2 linked regions of the Macaca mulatta genome follow. The protein of the gene in region 1 interacts with the protein of each later gene in a biochemical or structural test. Links are inferred from orthologs where the notes say so. Each region holds a gene or a part of one and is shown on either strand. Other genes may lie near its edges. The genes, in order: STAT2 and IFNAR1.

Evidence for each region.
Region 2: the proteins of STAT2 (region 1) and IFNAR1 form a complex in vitro, tested with the Homo sapiens proteins (2 studies listed by BioGRID). The link is inferred for Macaca mulatta from reciprocal best matches to the Homo sapiens genes STAT2 and IFNAR1.

What each region holds. Positions count from the first base shown.
Region 1 is NC_133416.1:63,514,315-63,518,132, reverse strand, and holds part of STAT2 (signal transducer and activator of transcription 2), read left to right. Parts: intron 1-408; coding exon 409-545; intron 546-739; coding exon 740-922; intron 923-1,155; coding exon 1,156-1,213; intron 1,214-3,194; coding exon 3,195-3,505; intron 3,506-3,807; coding exon 3,808-3,818. UniProt on the Homo sapiens protein: Signal transducer and activator of transcription that mediates signaling by type I interferons (IFN-alpha and IFN-beta).
Region 2 is NC_133408.1:14,046,871-14,050,688, reverse strand, and holds part of IFNAR1 (interferon alpha/beta receptor 1 precursor), read left to right. Parts: exon of another isoform or gene 1-664; intron 665-875; coding exon 876-999; intron 1,000-3,487; coding exon 3,488-3,663; intron 3,664-3,818. UniProt on the Homo sapiens protein: Together with IFNAR2, forms the heterodimeric receptor for type I interferons (including interferons alpha, beta, epsilon, omega and kappa).

The sequences.
Region 1 (3,818 bases):
GTTAGCCAGGCATGGTGGTGTGCACCTGTGGTCCCAGCTACTCTGGAGGCTGAGAGGTGGGAAGATTGCTTGAGCCCAGTAGGTCGAGGCATGGAGGCAGCAGTGAGCTGTATCATGCCACTGTTCTCCAGCCTGGTGACAGAATGACACCCTCTTTCCCAAAAAAAAAAGAGTGCTGTTCATCTGTGTGATCTCACTGAATCTTCGTACCTCTTCAAACCCTCGGAAGGTCGCTGTTGTCAGCAAAGTGAAGTGACTTGTAAAAGATAAAAAAGCTAAGTGGCAGAGCTTGGTCCAAAACCTGGGTTCCAAACCTAGGCTATTTCTCCATACAAGGGGAGCAGGGAGGCAGGGGCCTGGTGGGGCAGGGGGTTGGGGGACGGCTCACAGCTGCTCTTTGTGCTCCAGACGCATCATGGGCTTTGTGAGTCGGAGCCAGGAGCGCCGGCTGCTGAAGAAAACCATCTCTGGCACCTTTCTACTGCGCTTCAGTGAATCGTCAGAAGGGGGCATTACCTGCTCCTGGGTGGAGCACCAGGATGATGGTCAGCTGCTGTGCCCTGCCATTCCCACAGCCTCTCCTTTCTGCCTGGCTCCCCTCTTGCCCCTCTGCCTGCCCTTGGCTTCCCTGGCTCTGTCCTGCATCCCTCAACCGGTTTGGGACTGGGGAGCCAGAGCAGGGAGCTCCAAGGCCCGGCCTCTTCCCTCAAGCCTGCCTGTTATTGCATTCACTCTCCAGACAAGGTGCTCATCTACTCTGTGCAACCGTACACCAAGGAGGTGCTGCAGTCACTCCCGCTGACTGAAATCATCCGCCATTACCAGTTGCTCACTGAGGAGAATATACCTGAGAACCCACTGCGCTTCCTCTATCCCCGAATCCCCCGGGATGAAGCTTTTGGGTGCTACTACCAGGAGAAAGGTGGGAATTGTTGACATACTTCATTGCTAGATTGCAGAGATCTTCAGACATCCATAGATCCCACTCCTTCCTTTCAAGCATGGGAAGACTGATATCTAGAGGAGTTAAGGGATTTGTCCATGGGATACTGCTGGTTCCTATGGGGATGAGACTGCCAGGACCGTCTGAGGGGAACCTCAGGCTATGTGTCTGGCCCACTGATCTTCTCTGCTTCTTATATATGTTCCTCACAGTTAATCTCCAGGAACGGAGGAAATACCTGAAACACAGGCTCATTGTGGTCTCTAATAGGTGAGATATAAACTCTCCACCCATCCTCCCTAGTCCTTTTTGGCTGTGCTTCAGTGAATTGTCAAAAGGGGGCATTACCTGCTCCTGGGTGGAGCACCAGGACGATGGTCAGCTGCTCTGCCCTGCCATTCCCACAGTCTCTCCTTTCTGCCTTCTCCTAACGTGCCCCTATTCCAGTCTCCCCAGCCTTCCCTCCCTCCTAGCCCACTCTAGTTTTTTCCAGTTCTAGTCTCTCCTATCTCATATTTTTCTGCTGCCATCCTTAGGTTGTCTCCACAGGGGTTTCTGGATAATAATGATCATAATGACTGGTGTTAATGGGCACCTACTTGATGCCAAGCATGGAGCTTTTTTTTTTTTCCCCAGACAGGGTTTCGCTCTGTCGCCCAGGCTGGAGTGCAGTGGTGTGATCATGGCTCACTGCAGCCTCGACCTCCTGAGCTCAAGCAATACAGGCATGCATCACCAAACTCAGCTAATTTTTTGTGTGTTTTTTGTAGAGATGGGGTCTTACCATGTTGCCCAGGCTGGTCTTGAACTCCTGGACTCAAGCAATCCACCCGCCTTGGCCTCCCAAAGTGCTAGGATTATAGGCATGAGCCACCACGCCCCGCCTATATATATTTTTTTTGAGACAGGGTCTCTGTCACCCAGGCTGGAGTGCAGTGGTGCAATCATGACTCACTGCAGCCTTGACCGAGGGGTTGAAGTGATGCTCCTGCCTCAGCCTCCCAAGTAGCTGAGACTACAAGCACACACCACCACACTCAGCTAATTTTTAAAATTTTTTGTAGGGATAGGGTATCACTATGTTGCCCAGGCTAGTCTTCAACTCCTGGCCTCAAGCAGTGTCCTGCCTTGGCCTCCCAAAGTGCTGGGATTATAGGAATGAGCCCTGGCACTTGGCTGGGGATAGTTTTTTTTTTTTTGAGACAGAGTCTCGCCCTCATTGCCCAGGCTGGAGTGCAATGGCGCAGTCTCAGCTCATTGCAACCTCTGCCTCCCAGGCTCAAGCAATTCTCCTGCCTCAGCTTCCTGAGTAGCTGGGATTACAGGCTAGCGCCACCCATGCCTGGTTAATTTTTATTTTTTTTGAGACAGAGTCTCGCCCTGTTGCCCAGGCTGGAGTGCAGTGGCATGATCTCAGCTCGCTGCAACTTCCACCTCCCAGGTTCAAGTGATTCTCCTGCCTTAGCCTCCCAAGTAGCTGGGACTACAGGCACGCACCACCACCACGCCTGGCTGATTTTTGTATTTTTAGTAGAGACAGGGTTTCACCATATTGGCCAGGCTGCTCTCAAACTCCTGAACTCGTGATCCGCCCACCTTGGTCTCCCAAAGTGCTGGGATTACAGGCGTGAGCCACTGTACCCGGCCTAACTTTTGTATTTTTAGTAGAGACGGGGTTTCACCAAATTGGCCAGGCTGGTCTTGAGCTTCTGGCCTCAAGTGATCTGCTCGCCTCAGCCTCCCAAAGTGCTTAGATTACAGGTGTGAGCCACCGTGCCTGGCCTGAAAGTTTATTTTGTGCCAGGCACTAGGCTAAATGGTTTATGTTTATTTTCTCATTTTATTGAATCTACAAAATAGTCCTTTGAAGTAAACACTGTTACTGTTTTCAGCTAAGGAACTGGATTTAGAGTAGTCAAGTTTTGTACCTAAGGTACATGGCTAATAAATGATACAGGTCTGTTAGATTCCATAGCCCTGCTTTCAACCACCCTACTGCCTCTCAAGAATTACTAGGTATTGTTCTCATTTATAGATGATAAATCTGAGGCTCAGAAAAGTTAGGATACTTGCCTAAGTTCCCCCAGCTAGTAAATGCCAGGATTCAAACTCCAGGAGGCCTGATTCCGAACTCCATGATCTTTAGCCCTCTGCTCTTCTGCCTTCTTAGACTAGCTGCTTCTTGTTCTACCATTCCTTCTTTCATTTAAACCACTGAGCCCTGCCCCTTTGTCTGTCTTTGGGTATCCAGACAGGTGGATGAACTACAACAACCGCTGGAGCTTAAGCTAGAGCCAGAGCTGGAGTCGTTAGAGCTGGAACTAGGGCTGGCGCCAGAGCCAGAGCTCAGCCTCGACTTAGAGCCACTGCTGAAGGCAGGGCTGGATCTGGGGCCAGAGCTAGAGTCTGTGCTGGAGTCCACTCTGGAGCCTGTAATGGAGCCCACACTATGCATGGTATCACAAACAGTGCCAGAGCCAGACCGAGGACCTGTGTCACAGCCAGTGCCAGAGCCAGATTTGCCCTGTGATCTGAGACATTTGAACACTGAGCCAATGGAAAGTAAGTGATGAAATAGAGCTATGGAAGACAGCACACATTCCCTTTCCTACCCCTTCTCCCTCTCCCATTACAGAAAAAACTGAGCTCCAAGCTCCTCATTGGAGAGAGGTCCATTCTGTGATTCCTTTTTTTTTTTTTTTTTGGAATTACACATGCCTTCCCCCACCTCCCTACTCTTTGATCCCACAAGTTCCCCCTCAGGCTCTTCCCAGGCCTTTCCTGCCATCCTCCCTCCCTTTCCTTGCTGGGTTGGGAATTCCTAACTAAGATCAGGGCCTCACTTTTCTCTCTGGGTTACCTAGTCTTCAGAAAC
Region 2 (3,818 bases), on another chromosome or scaffold:
GGCTACTGGGGAAGACCCAGCCAGTGGGGCTATTGCCAGCATCCAGTCAGCTGCTGCCTTCCCTGACCCCAGCGTCAAGTGATGCGCAGGGTGATCAGGTGTGTGAGGGGCAGCTGGATGTCCAGACTGAGGGCACTGGTGCCATCAGTGGCTATCCTACCACTCAATCCATGACCCAGGTGGTGATCCAGGGTGCTTACACCAGTTATGATACAGTTAACACAGAGGGGACAGCTGCTGAGATACACTATACTTTCCCACTCCTGCAGTGGGAGATGGGGCAGGGGGTACGACATCAGGGAGTACAGCTGCTGTTGGTACTACCCAGGGCTCAGAGGCACTGCTTGGGCAGGTGACTCCTGGCACTGGTCAGTTATTTGTGACAGTGTTACCACAAGGAGTACTGCAGGGAGGAAGCCAGCACTTGATTGCCCCTAGGACTCACCCTTACTTATCAGGACATAACACCATTGTAAATCAAGAAGCATCTCTATCTCTCTCTGAACATACAATGTGAAATCACACTGAGGCCATAAAACAGTTGAACCTCATCATAAGAGTGACTCATCAGTGTCACTAATAAGGCCAAGAAAAATTCTATTTTCATGCAGAGACCATTCGTTTTTTAATTAAAAGACAACCCTTTTTCAAAAAGGAAAAAAAATCAACTCTTTTTCCAGCTCTCTCAGATGCAGAAATGTAATTACCAGCATCCCTGTGCTGGGAGCAATCATTAGATTTTTTTAGATTTTTAAAATATACTTCATTATATTTTACTGTATTCATTCTTTAATCAGGGATGTGAGGGATAGAGTAACATTTAGAATATCTGTAGAGTTTATATATAATGTTCTTATTTCTTGTTGCCTTTATAGGTGGAAAAAATCTAAAATCTCCTCAAAAAGTAGAGGTTGACGTCATAGATGACAACTTTATCCTGAGGTGGAACAGGAGTGAAGAATCTGTCGGGAATGTGACTTTTTCATTCGATTATCAAAAGTATGTGACTCTACTTACTGATTTGTCAGAATGACCTGAATCATTTTTACAAGTTTAGCACCATAATTTTCAGATTTGGAAAGTATTTGGTTCTTCTATTTTTTAGAAATGTTATGCCTATTTTACATAGTATTTTTAACTTTGTTTCTGTAGAGACTTAGTCAAATACATCTTTGGGTGTTGAAGCAAAAAAATTGGGGATGAAGGTGGTAGACAGCATCTCTAAGCCATAGCCATTCCTTCTTTCCTCTGGGTGTTCCAGCTTCTTTCAATATAAGTTGGGATCTGAACTAGGGTGTATCTTGAGGATACGGCATAGTACTCCAAAAGGCCCATCCAAGACCTTGGAATAGGCCACGAGGTTTCCTGTGATCAGGCTTTCCTATTATCTCCTTGATATATTTAGTAGAGATGGGGTTTCTCCATGTTTTCCAGACTGGTCTCGAACTCCTGACCTCAGATGATGCACCCGCCTTCACCTCCCAAAGTGCTGGGATTACAGGTGTGAGCCACTGCACCCAGCCAATAATGATTTTTTTAAGAAACTATAAAAGTAGCTTCTGCTGCAATATCTTGATTAGATGTGAAACAGTTTTAATGGAGCATGCATCAGCATCTCCTGAAATAGGAAAGACAGATGTGAACAGTGAGGTTGGGTTGAAATTATATTAAGTTTCAAGTTTTTGATAAGGTTTTCTGTTTATAACAAGAGTTTCTGGATTTTTAGAAATAGTTTCTGATGTGGAACCTTTTCAAGAATGTTTAAGATATTTTTAATGCCAGCTCTAATCTCAGGCCTCAGATATGTAAAGTGGAAGTGAAAACTGACCAAGAATGAAGTATTTCATATGCTAGTGTATATTTTTGGTAATTTCTTTAAAATGTTTCCGTTTTGAAAAATAAGGTAGACTAGTATTTGGTTCAGCAGCAAAATTATTTTGGTATTATTTCTAGTTTCTAGTATCTAAATCATCTTTAAAATGGCATCTGTGATATTATTAAAAATAAATAAATCAGCTAATGAATTAGGCTTGACAAAAATGCCTTCCCAGAAGATAGTTTCCCTGCTACTTTTACAGTTGATGGGCTTAACATAGGTAAAAGCTTTGAAATCTGCTAAATTGGCCAGGCATGGTGGCCCACGCCTGTAATCCCAGCACTTTGGGAGGCTCAGGTGGGCAGGTCACCTGAGGTGAGGAGTTTAAGATCAGTCTAGCCGACATGGCAAAACCCCATCTCTACTAAAAAAAAAAAAACGAAAAAATACAAAAATTAGCCAGACGTGGTGGCACATGCCTGTAATCACAGCTACTTGAGAGGCTGAGGCAGGAGAATTGCTTGAACCTAGGAAGTGGAGGTTGCAGTGGGCCAAGATTGCTCCACTGCACTCCAGCCTGGGCAGCAGAGTGAGACTCTGTCTCAAAAAAAAAAAAAAAAAAAAAAAAAAAAAAAAAAAAAGAAAGCTACTAAGTTCATTTCTATCCCTCACTTTCCCTGCAAGCTCTTCCCCTTTCTGAGCAACATGTCCTTTTCTGCTTTAGGCACCCCCTGCGCGCTTGATTTCTTCATGTTTGCCCCTTTTTCAAAAGGTAATATCAATCACTTCAGCTTTTTGATTGGCCAGTTCCACTTCCAAAAATTAATTTGTTTATGTAAACGTTTTAAGTGGTTTCTGATGATGTAATAGAAGAAATTACGGAGACAGGCAAGCAGAAGGGATGGTCTTTGAGAGGGCTGTGGAAACCCTGAAACCATACTGATTCCGAGGTCTTTCTTAGGGAAGTCTATTCATAGGAGGAGGTCAGAAAGGAATCATCCAATCCAATTCTCCAATTTCTATTTAATTTTATTTTATTAGAGACAGGGTCTTACTCGGTTGCTGAGGCTGGATTGCAGTGATATGATCATAACCTATGGCAGCCTGCAGCCTTGAACCCCTGTGCTCAAATGACCCTCTCACCTCAGCCTTCCTAGTAGCTAGGACTATGAGCACATGCCACCATACCCTGCTTTGCCTTTTTTTTTTTTCTCATAGAGACAGGGTTTGCTATGTTGACCAGGCTCCGAACTTTCAGTAAGGAAGATAAGATCCAGAAACATAAAATAGTTTACCAGAAGTCACACAGCTATTTTTAACAGAGCCAACATACTAAATCCACTTTTACCTTATAGGTCATTTATTTCTCTGCTTCCTTGAAATCGTAAAGCAACCACCCAAAAAATTATATAAAGAACTGTATTTTAAAATTCAATTTTATAAGTAATAACTTGGCTTATATGCATTGAAAAAGAGTGGAAGGGTGTACCCTGAAATGTTAATCGGACATTAGCTCAAATAGAAGAAATAACTCTTAAACTAAAAATAGAAATAACTCTTAAACGAGAGTTATTAAGAGTTAAGAAATAACTCTTAAACCAGTAAATATAAAGTATTTGACTATACTTATACATTTGCTCACTCATTCATTTGTTTTATTTTACTTTAAAGACCTGAGATGGATAATTGGATAAAATTGCCTGGATGTCAGAATATGACTAGTACCAAATGCAACTTTTCTTCGCTCAAGCTGAACATTTATGATGAAATTAAATTGCGTATAAGAGCAGAAAAAGAAAACACTTCTTCATGGTGTGAGGTTGACTCGTTTACACCATTTCGCAAAGGTAAGAAGAAGTTGCTGAATTATATTCCTCAGTAAATATCGCCGGAGCAGTTCACTTTCCAAGCCATTCATTTGCATGATGCAAAATCTAACATCTTTGAAAAAGAACAAAAATTCCCTTAAACCTGTATCTTCTTCCTGCTACGGCTCTATTTT